Cricetulus griseus: one gene and its partner. The protein of the gene in region 2 purifies or fractionates together with the protein of the main gene of each other region. This does not show direct contact. Links are inferred from orthologs where the notes say so. Each region holds a gene or a part of one and is shown on either strand. Other genes may lie near its edges.

Region 1 (4,160 bases), on a different chromosome or scaffold from region 2:
TGCCTCCCGAGTGCTGGGATTAAAGGCGTGGGCCACCAACGCCCGTCTTGGCTCAGTGTTTAAGAGCACTTGTTGCTCTTTTAGAGGAGGAGTTTTTGATTCTTAACACCCACGTGGCGCTAAATTCCATTCCTAGGGGATCGATTGGATGGATGCCCTCTTTAGACTTCTGAGAATATCAGGCACTTAGGTGGTATGCCTACATACATATACACAAAACTCAAAAACATAAAAAGAATCTTTAAAAGACACAGAAAATAGCCGGGCTGTGGTGGTGTACACCTTTAGTCCCAGCACTTGGGAGGCAGAGACTGGCAGATTTCTCTGAGTTAGAGGCCAGCCTGGTCTACAGAGTGAGTGCCAGGACAGCTAGGGCTGTTACACAGAGAAACCCTGTCTTGAAAAAAAAAAAAAAAAAAAAAAAAAAAAAACAAGATACAGATTACATTGCTTCTATTCTCGGTTTTGGTTTCTGTCCTTTCTCTCTAAAGATAGTTCTTATTACAGTTTACTTTAGTTTTTCCAGGGAATACTATTAAATAGTTGTCATATGTAGTACTTTTTGTTTACTAGTAACTTTCAAGACCTGAGCCTGGTGGCACATGCCTGTAATACCAGCACTTAGCAGTTGGAGGCAGGAGCATTAAGGGCAGGCTCAGCTACATAGTGAATTTAGGTCAGGCAGGGCTGCTGTGGATCATTTGTTGTTGTTGTTTTGTTTTAAAGGTTTTATTTATTTATTATGTCTTCTGCCTTCATGCCAGCAGAGGGCACCAGATCTCATTCAAGGTGGTTGTGAGCCACCATGTGGTTGCTGGGAATTGAACTCAGGACCTCTTGGAAGAACAGTCAGTGCTCTTGACCACTGAGCCATCTCTCCAGCCTGTGGATCAATCAGTTTTTGTACACTGTGAATATGTATTACCCTCAATGGTTAATAAAGAGCTGACTGGCCTATAGCTGGGCAGGAGAGCCACACTAGGAGAATGCTGGAAAGAAGGGAAGAGTCTTAGGAGTCGCCAGCCAGATGCAGAGGAAACAGGACGTGTACAAAATGAGGTAACAACACATGAACTGCACGGCAGTAAGTAAAGGAATATAAATGGGTTAATTTAAAACATAAGAGCTTGTGGAGTTTGACTTTCAGGATGTTGTGAGTCTCCCAGTTTGGGTGCTCAGAACTGAACCCCAGTCCTCTGCAAGAGCAATGAGCTCTCTTAGCCACTTAGCTGTCTCTCCACCCACCAAGAGCCAATTTTTCATTTTAGCTTTCTAATAATAATCCTTGACCGCCCCTTGCTGGAGATCAAACAGAGGACCTCTCTTGTGCTCTGTGAATGCTCTAGCTGAACTACATAACTACAACATCAGACAGGTATTTGACTCTTTTATTTATTTATTTATTTATTTATTTATTTATTCCAGACAGGGTTTCTCTGTGTAGTTCTGGCTGTTCTGGAACTCACTCTGTAGCCAGGCTGGCCTTGAACTCAGAGATCCACTTGTCTGGGTGTTAAAGGTGTCAAGAGTGCTGGGGTCAAAGGTGTGCACCACCACCACCACGCCTGTATTGCTTTTAAGAAACAAAAACATTGCTGTGCGGTGGTTGCACAAGTCTTTAATCCCAGCACTTGGGAGGCAGAGGCAGGTGGATCTCTATGAGTTTGAGACCAGCCTGGTCTAAAAGAGCTAGTTCCAGGACAGGCTCCAGAGCTACACAGAGAAACCAACCCTGCTTCAAAAAACAAACAAACAAACATCATTTTAAAGACAAGATCCCAGTTCTTCAGGAATTAAAGGACTAGTATCCAAGCAAGGGAACAAGTAAATTCTGAGATTTAAATAAGAAACCAAACATAAGAGAAAAAAAAAGTTGCTGGCTGTGGTGGTGCACACCTTGAATCCCAGCACTGGGGAAGCAGAGGCCCAGCCCGGTCTGCACAGCAAGTTCCAGGACAGGCAGGGCTAAACCCTGCCTCAAAACAAACAAGTCTTCCTAAGTGGACTGTACTGCGGTTATGGGAGCTGCAAAGTGCTTTCTCTAGCTTCACCCTCTCAATTTTACACTAAATAAAATTTTCTGAAATAAACTAGACTGTGTGTGTAACCTTAAGCAAGCAGTTTCATCTCCCAGGACTTTACAGTTTATATTTGTATATATATTTGATATATATATTTGATTGTATGTATATATGCATATATACATACATAACAAATAAGGATGTCCGTGTTTTCATTTATTTATTTATTTTGGTAAGGATAAAATATTATGCAAAGGGGCTGGGAACACAGCTCAGCGGGTGAGAGCTCTGGCTGCTGTTCCAGACGACCCCACTGGGTTCGATTCCCAGCTCCCACATGGCAATTTATGACCAGCATTCCAGTCCCAGATCTGACGACCTCTTCTGACCAACACAAGCACTGCACGGATGTGGCACACAGACAAAGCATGCTTACAAATTAAATAACAAACAGATGATAGACAGATAACGCTTTGGCTTATGACAAGGGTCAAATGCTGCATGCCAGGCTTCAGGGTTTGCGGAGGAGTTTTGGAAGAAGGTCGACAGGGCTGAAAAGTAAAAGCAAAGCGAGGGTGTGACATCCCGGACAGGGGCATCCCGGGGGCAGTGGCCCTTCCCGAGATCGAACTCACGCCTCCCTGCTCCGCACACGCTCTCCGGGCCTGTACCTTCTGAGGCTCCGGTGCCGCTCCTCCCAGTGGCTCCCGCGGCAACTTCCACTCCTCCGGGCGGCTCAAGAACCCCACCCCGCCCCTGACTTCGGCGGACCCAGACCGTGATCACCGGGCCCTACGGATTCGCCGTTCCGGGCTCTGGCTGAGGCTCGCCCACGCCCTTCCCACGTCACGCCCTCATTGGCGGAGTCCTGGCCCCGCCCACCACCGGGCTGGGCGAGCTGCTGGAAACCACACCGCCGAGCTCCGTGTTTGGCGAAGAGGCTCCCAGAGGGGCGGAACCCAACTAATGTCATACCCAAGAATTCAAGCAGCTGACTTTCCCGAACCTGCACTCCCAGGAAAAGGAAACGAAACCAGAGCGTGCAGAGGCACCAAGGACTCCGCAGAAGGGGTGGGACTTGCATTTCGATACTTTAGGTAGGGAGGGAAGAGCCGAGGCACATATTTTTGAGGACATAATGATAAATACCATAGGATCGTGTTATCAGTTTTTAATTTCCATAACCACTTGTTCAGGTGAAAACTCACTACTCCCTCATTAGAAACATAAAAAACTGAGTTTCAAGAAATGACTGGCAAGTGATGACAATACCCCAAACCCATCCATCCATCTATACTACTCCTTCTCTGTCAGAATTTTCCATTTATTTGTTGTTTGTTACTACCTCTTGTATGCCCAGATACTGTAGTCCTGTTCCAAGGCTTGGTCCCAGTAGGAAAATGTACTTTCAACTTCTGACACCAAAGTAGTCATGGTTGTTTCTTCGAAGTCACGGTCTTCCTGCACGGTCTCCGGCAGAGAGAGGCTCACCTCTTTCTCGTCATAATAATATCGGATCAGCTGCTGAACCCCAGCCTTCAATGCTGGCTTAAGAGTAGCACTTATCACCACACCAGCCGGCCCCCCTGACACACCCACCATGGCCATCAAAAGGTCATAACCCAGATCTAAGGCTCCCTCTTTGCCTCGCTCCTTGGCCTTGTCGGAGCAGTTCTGAATGGCATAGTACAATGCTGTGCCTAGATTGTAGTAGGTCCCCACTGCCGGCAGCAGCCCAACCACACTGTGCACACTCTGCTCCCGCTCATTGTCACAGGCTGCGTTAGAAAGAGAGCGTGGGACCCTCTTTGGACCTGGCTGCTCCCAGGCTAAGAGCTGCAGAGCAGAAGATAAGGCGTCTACCGACACTTGCTGGTCCTCAAGTCCACCTTTCTGGAGCTCTTGGAGATGGTGGATGAGGGCCTGTGTAGCCTCCACACCTCCCAGTCGGTAAAGCTGCCGCTGCAGAGCCCAGACATCAGCCTGGCAGCCAGCTTCCTCCAGAGCGTTCCTCAGAGCCAGGCCTACCAGGAACTTGGGGAGAGGGGGCATGTGAGTGAAGCCAGGCAGGGACTTTGGGAGCAGGACCTGGCAGGACAAGGGGTCTGAGGAGGGCAACTGGTATCCCAACGCCAAGGG
Region 2 (3,646 bases):
TGGACAAAGAGCTTCTGAGACAGGACAAGGCAAATGAAAACTCCAGGGGCAACAGGTTTCAGCTGACAAGTCAGCAGACGAAAGTCACTAGCACAAAACTAATGTGGGGTGTGCCACTTCCAAAACAGAGTGGGTAAGAGAGAGAGGAGGCTCTACTCACCATGAGGGCGGTCCCAAGCACCACAGTGTTCTCTAGACAGCCCCCTCTTCCTCGTCATGCTCTTCTCTTTCTCCAGTTCTGAGGGGCACTGAGGCTCAGCCACCTCTAACTGGCAGGTTTTCCTCAGGAGCCCAAACCCTTTGCCCATTAGTGATCACGCCCAAACCCCGAGTCTGGGACTGCCTGACTAAGGCTCGGGATTCCACGACTTCACTTCCTGGAAGGGTCCACACAAGCCAGACACAAAGGAACCTCTGTGGGAACACAAAGCAGCAGATGACAGTGAGATGGGGACACACCCATGTCATCAGCTCCAACTGCTAGAGGCAGCCTGGCTTAGCTCTGAAACAGGAATTAATGACAAGCTGGACATCCCCAACCCTTCTTCTAACTTTCCATTCCTCAGCATGGACTGTCATTGTCCTAACGCTGGCCCTCTTCCTGGGTTCCCCTTCTCAGTAAATGGTCTAGAACAAAAACCAAGGGTCTCCTTGCCCCTGACTCTCAATCCATTATAGATGAAAAAGGTGTCGATACCACTAGCTAGAGACTGCCCACAAGCAAACCCCTTGCTCTGCACATTCTTGACCCCGTGGGACATGCCTTCAGACATCCAAGATCCTTCCTCTGGGAAGCTTGTCCTAGGTCCTCGGGAAGGCTCTGTGGCCGCCTATGCTTTAAGTGCTTTGGGCACAAAGTTATTCAAATTCTGATGTGAGGACTATGTGTCTCTATGTGGTGTGGAATTGGTGACTCGCAGCTCAGGCTCCCCCTTCAGCAGTCAGCCCTTCCCAGACCCATAGGACAACTGTATTCCTTTCACCCAAACCAAAGACTCAGAAGCACAAGATTGTAGTATAGATGAGGAAATGTACTATGATCGGCCAATCCTCGTTCTTACTTCCTCCTGACATCACAGGCCTCATCCACCTGTAAACCCTCCTCCCAAAAATTCTTTGGGATTCCCCGGGAGGTCTCGCATGTGATTCAGAACAAAAGTCGAAACTGCTGTGCCAGGCCTCACCTGCGTCTCTCCATTGAGCCTGGGTCCTGCAAGGCACTGCCAGGCACAGAGGCCAGCCTTAAAGAGCACTCTGGCATCTTCAACTAGGAATGATGCGAAAGTGGAAACCACCCAGCTATCCTCAGGGGCGTGTGCCCTTTGAATCCCCCAGTTCCTTCTGAAAGGCTTCAACTTCTGCCTGCAGCTTCCTTCTACTCCTCATCCTGTCCACAAGCCTAAGCTGGAGCGCCTCGTTCTCTGTGTCTCCTCCTCTCTAGCCAAGGCAGATGCACAACCCCAGAGTTCCTCTGTGTTTCTCTTTCCCCATGGGCAAGTAAGTGGAGAGGCCTGAGAGCCCATTGGCTATGAAACACTGAATCAGCTGGGTTCAGTGAGGGCCCTCTCACTTACAGTCTTTTCGAGACAAGCTGGTGTTGGGAGTCTTCCTCGATTGCCCTCCATCTAATTCATTGAGGCAGGGTCTCTCAGGTGACCCAGGGCTGGCCAATATAGTCCGATCTAGCTATCAGCTTACTCCATGGATTCCCTGCCCCCACCTCTCAAGCATTAGAATTGCAGGGAGACCACCATGCCCAGCTGGCATCTACACAGGTATAGGGATCCCAAGCCCTGGCCTCACATTCACACAGCCAACATTTTACCTAATGAGTTATTTTCGCAGCCAAAAGGTAAGATTTCTTTAATTATTTATCTATTTTCCAGTCTGTGTAGATTTACGCTCATGAGTGCAGTTGCCCTTGAAGACCAGAAGAGGGTGTCAGATTCCCCCTTGAGCTATAGGCTGCTGTGAGCTGCCCAAACTGTTTGGCAACAAAACTCGGATCCTCTGCAAGAGCAATGTGCACTCTCAACGGCTAAGCCACCTTGTCTTGTTCCAGTTGATAGTCTGGCCAATGGAGAGAGCCAGTCAGAACTCAGTGGCTAAAGGAGTGGCCTAAATCTGGTTGTGAGTATAAGAGGATATTTCATGGAAGAAGTCGGTCTGTAACTGTGGTTATTAAAGACAAAAGAGCAGAAGGGTGTGAGTGTTAAGGCTGTTAAACCAGATATGCTGCTAAACACCAGTAATTCTAGCACTGGTGAGGCTCAGGAAAGGGAATAACAAGTTTGAGACCAGCCTGGACGACAGAATGAGACCCTACTGAGAGAACAAGAATCTGAATCTTGATGCAAGAAAGGTAATATGGGCGGTGTGCAAAAGTTTGGTGTTTGGAGAAAGGGGATGTGGGTAAGTTTATGCAGAGTACTTTAAGAAGATTTGCATAAGGAAATTCAAACTCAAAACGGAAGGAAGTACAGTCTAGAAATTTACTAACTGGTAAGCTAACAGTCATGGAAACCCAAATCAAGACCATAATAAGACATCCTTTTACACTTTCCATCTGGGAAGAGTCAGCAATTCTGACAGAATCTGATCATCGCACACCACCAATGTGCTGGAGTGAAAAACCATTCATGATGCTTCTATTATAAATGTGTAGCTGGGAAAGAGGGGTGTTTGGTTGTTTTGGCTTTGCCTTTGTTTTGTTTTTTAAGATTTATTTATTTATTTATTTTATGTTTGAGTACTCTATCTGCATGTATGCCTGCAGGCCAGAAGAGGGCATCAGATCCCACTATAGCTGCCTGTCAGGAACCAAGTGGGTGCTGGGAATTGAACTCAGGCTCTCTGAAGACCAGCCAGTCTCTTAACCACTGAGTCATTTCTCCAGCCCCCATTTGGTTGCTTTTTGAGACAAGATGCTTACTCATAGCCAAGACTGGTCTCAAACTCAATCCCCTTGCCTCAGCCTCCTGAGTTTCAAAATGACAGGCAGCAATGCCACCACACCCAGTAAAATCTGTATAATTCCTATGTGTCAATTAAAAACAACATATATTTAAATTTTTATTGAGCCAAGCATTGGAGGAGGTGTGGGTAAATAAGATTCAAAACAAAACAAAACAAAACAAAAAAACTTTGGTGACAGGGTTTCTCTGTGCAGCCCTGGCTACTCTGAAACTCACTGTGTAGACCAGGCTGGCCTCAAACTCAGAGATCTGCCTGCCTCTTCCTCCAGAGTGCTGGGACTAAAGGTGTTTGCCACCACCTCGTGGCTAGATTTCTTCTTTTCAAATATGAGCAGAGTGTGTGTGTGTGTGTGTGTGTGTGTGTGTGTGTGTGTGTGTGTGTGTGCGCGCGCGCGCGCGCGCGTGCACGCGCGCCACAGCACACATGCAGAACTCAGAAGACACCTCAGCTGAGTCGGTTCTGTCTGGGAATTGAACCCAGGCCCCCCACTTGTGCGACAAACACCTCTACCTTCTGAGCCATCTTGTTAGACCTAAACATGTTTTGATTTTTTTTAAGATTAAAGTTTCTTACTGTGTTAATTTATCTTATTGTGTATCATGTGGACATGAATTGCCACAGCACACAAAAGGAAGTCAGGGAACAATTTGTTGCAGTCAGTCTTCTTCTT

Evidence for each region. Proteins that work in one complex are often made in the same cells at the same time.
Region 1: the proteins of Usp18 (region 2) and Stat2 purify together in Homo sapiens (affinity purification with western blotting; 6 studies listed by BioGRID and IntAct, with this or other methods). This does not show direct contact. The link is inferred for Cricetulus griseus from reciprocal best matches to the Homo sapiens genes USP18 and STAT2.

Annotation. Positions count from the first base shown.
Region 1 is NW_023276806.1:129,601,136-129,605,295, forward strand, and holds the start of Stat2 (signal transducer and activator of transcription 2), read right to left. Parts: upstream 2,859-4,160; 5' UTR 2,693-2,858; intron 1-2,692. Other genes in the region: Apof (apolipoprotein F), read right to left, coding at 3,363-4,160. UniProt on the Homo sapiens protein: Signal transducer and activator of transcription that mediates signaling by type I interferons (IFN-alpha and IFN-beta).
Region 2 is NC_048601.1:23,648,344-23,651,989, forward strand, and holds part of Usp18 (ubl carboxyl-terminal hydrolase 18), read right to left. Parts: intron 415-3,646; 5' UTR 309-414; coding exon 161-308; intron 1-160. UniProt on the Homo sapiens protein: Interferon-induced ISG15-specific protease that plays a crucial role for maintaining a proper balance of ISG15-conjugated proteins in cells. Regulates protein ISGylation by efficiently cleaving ISG15 conjugates linked via isopeptide bonds.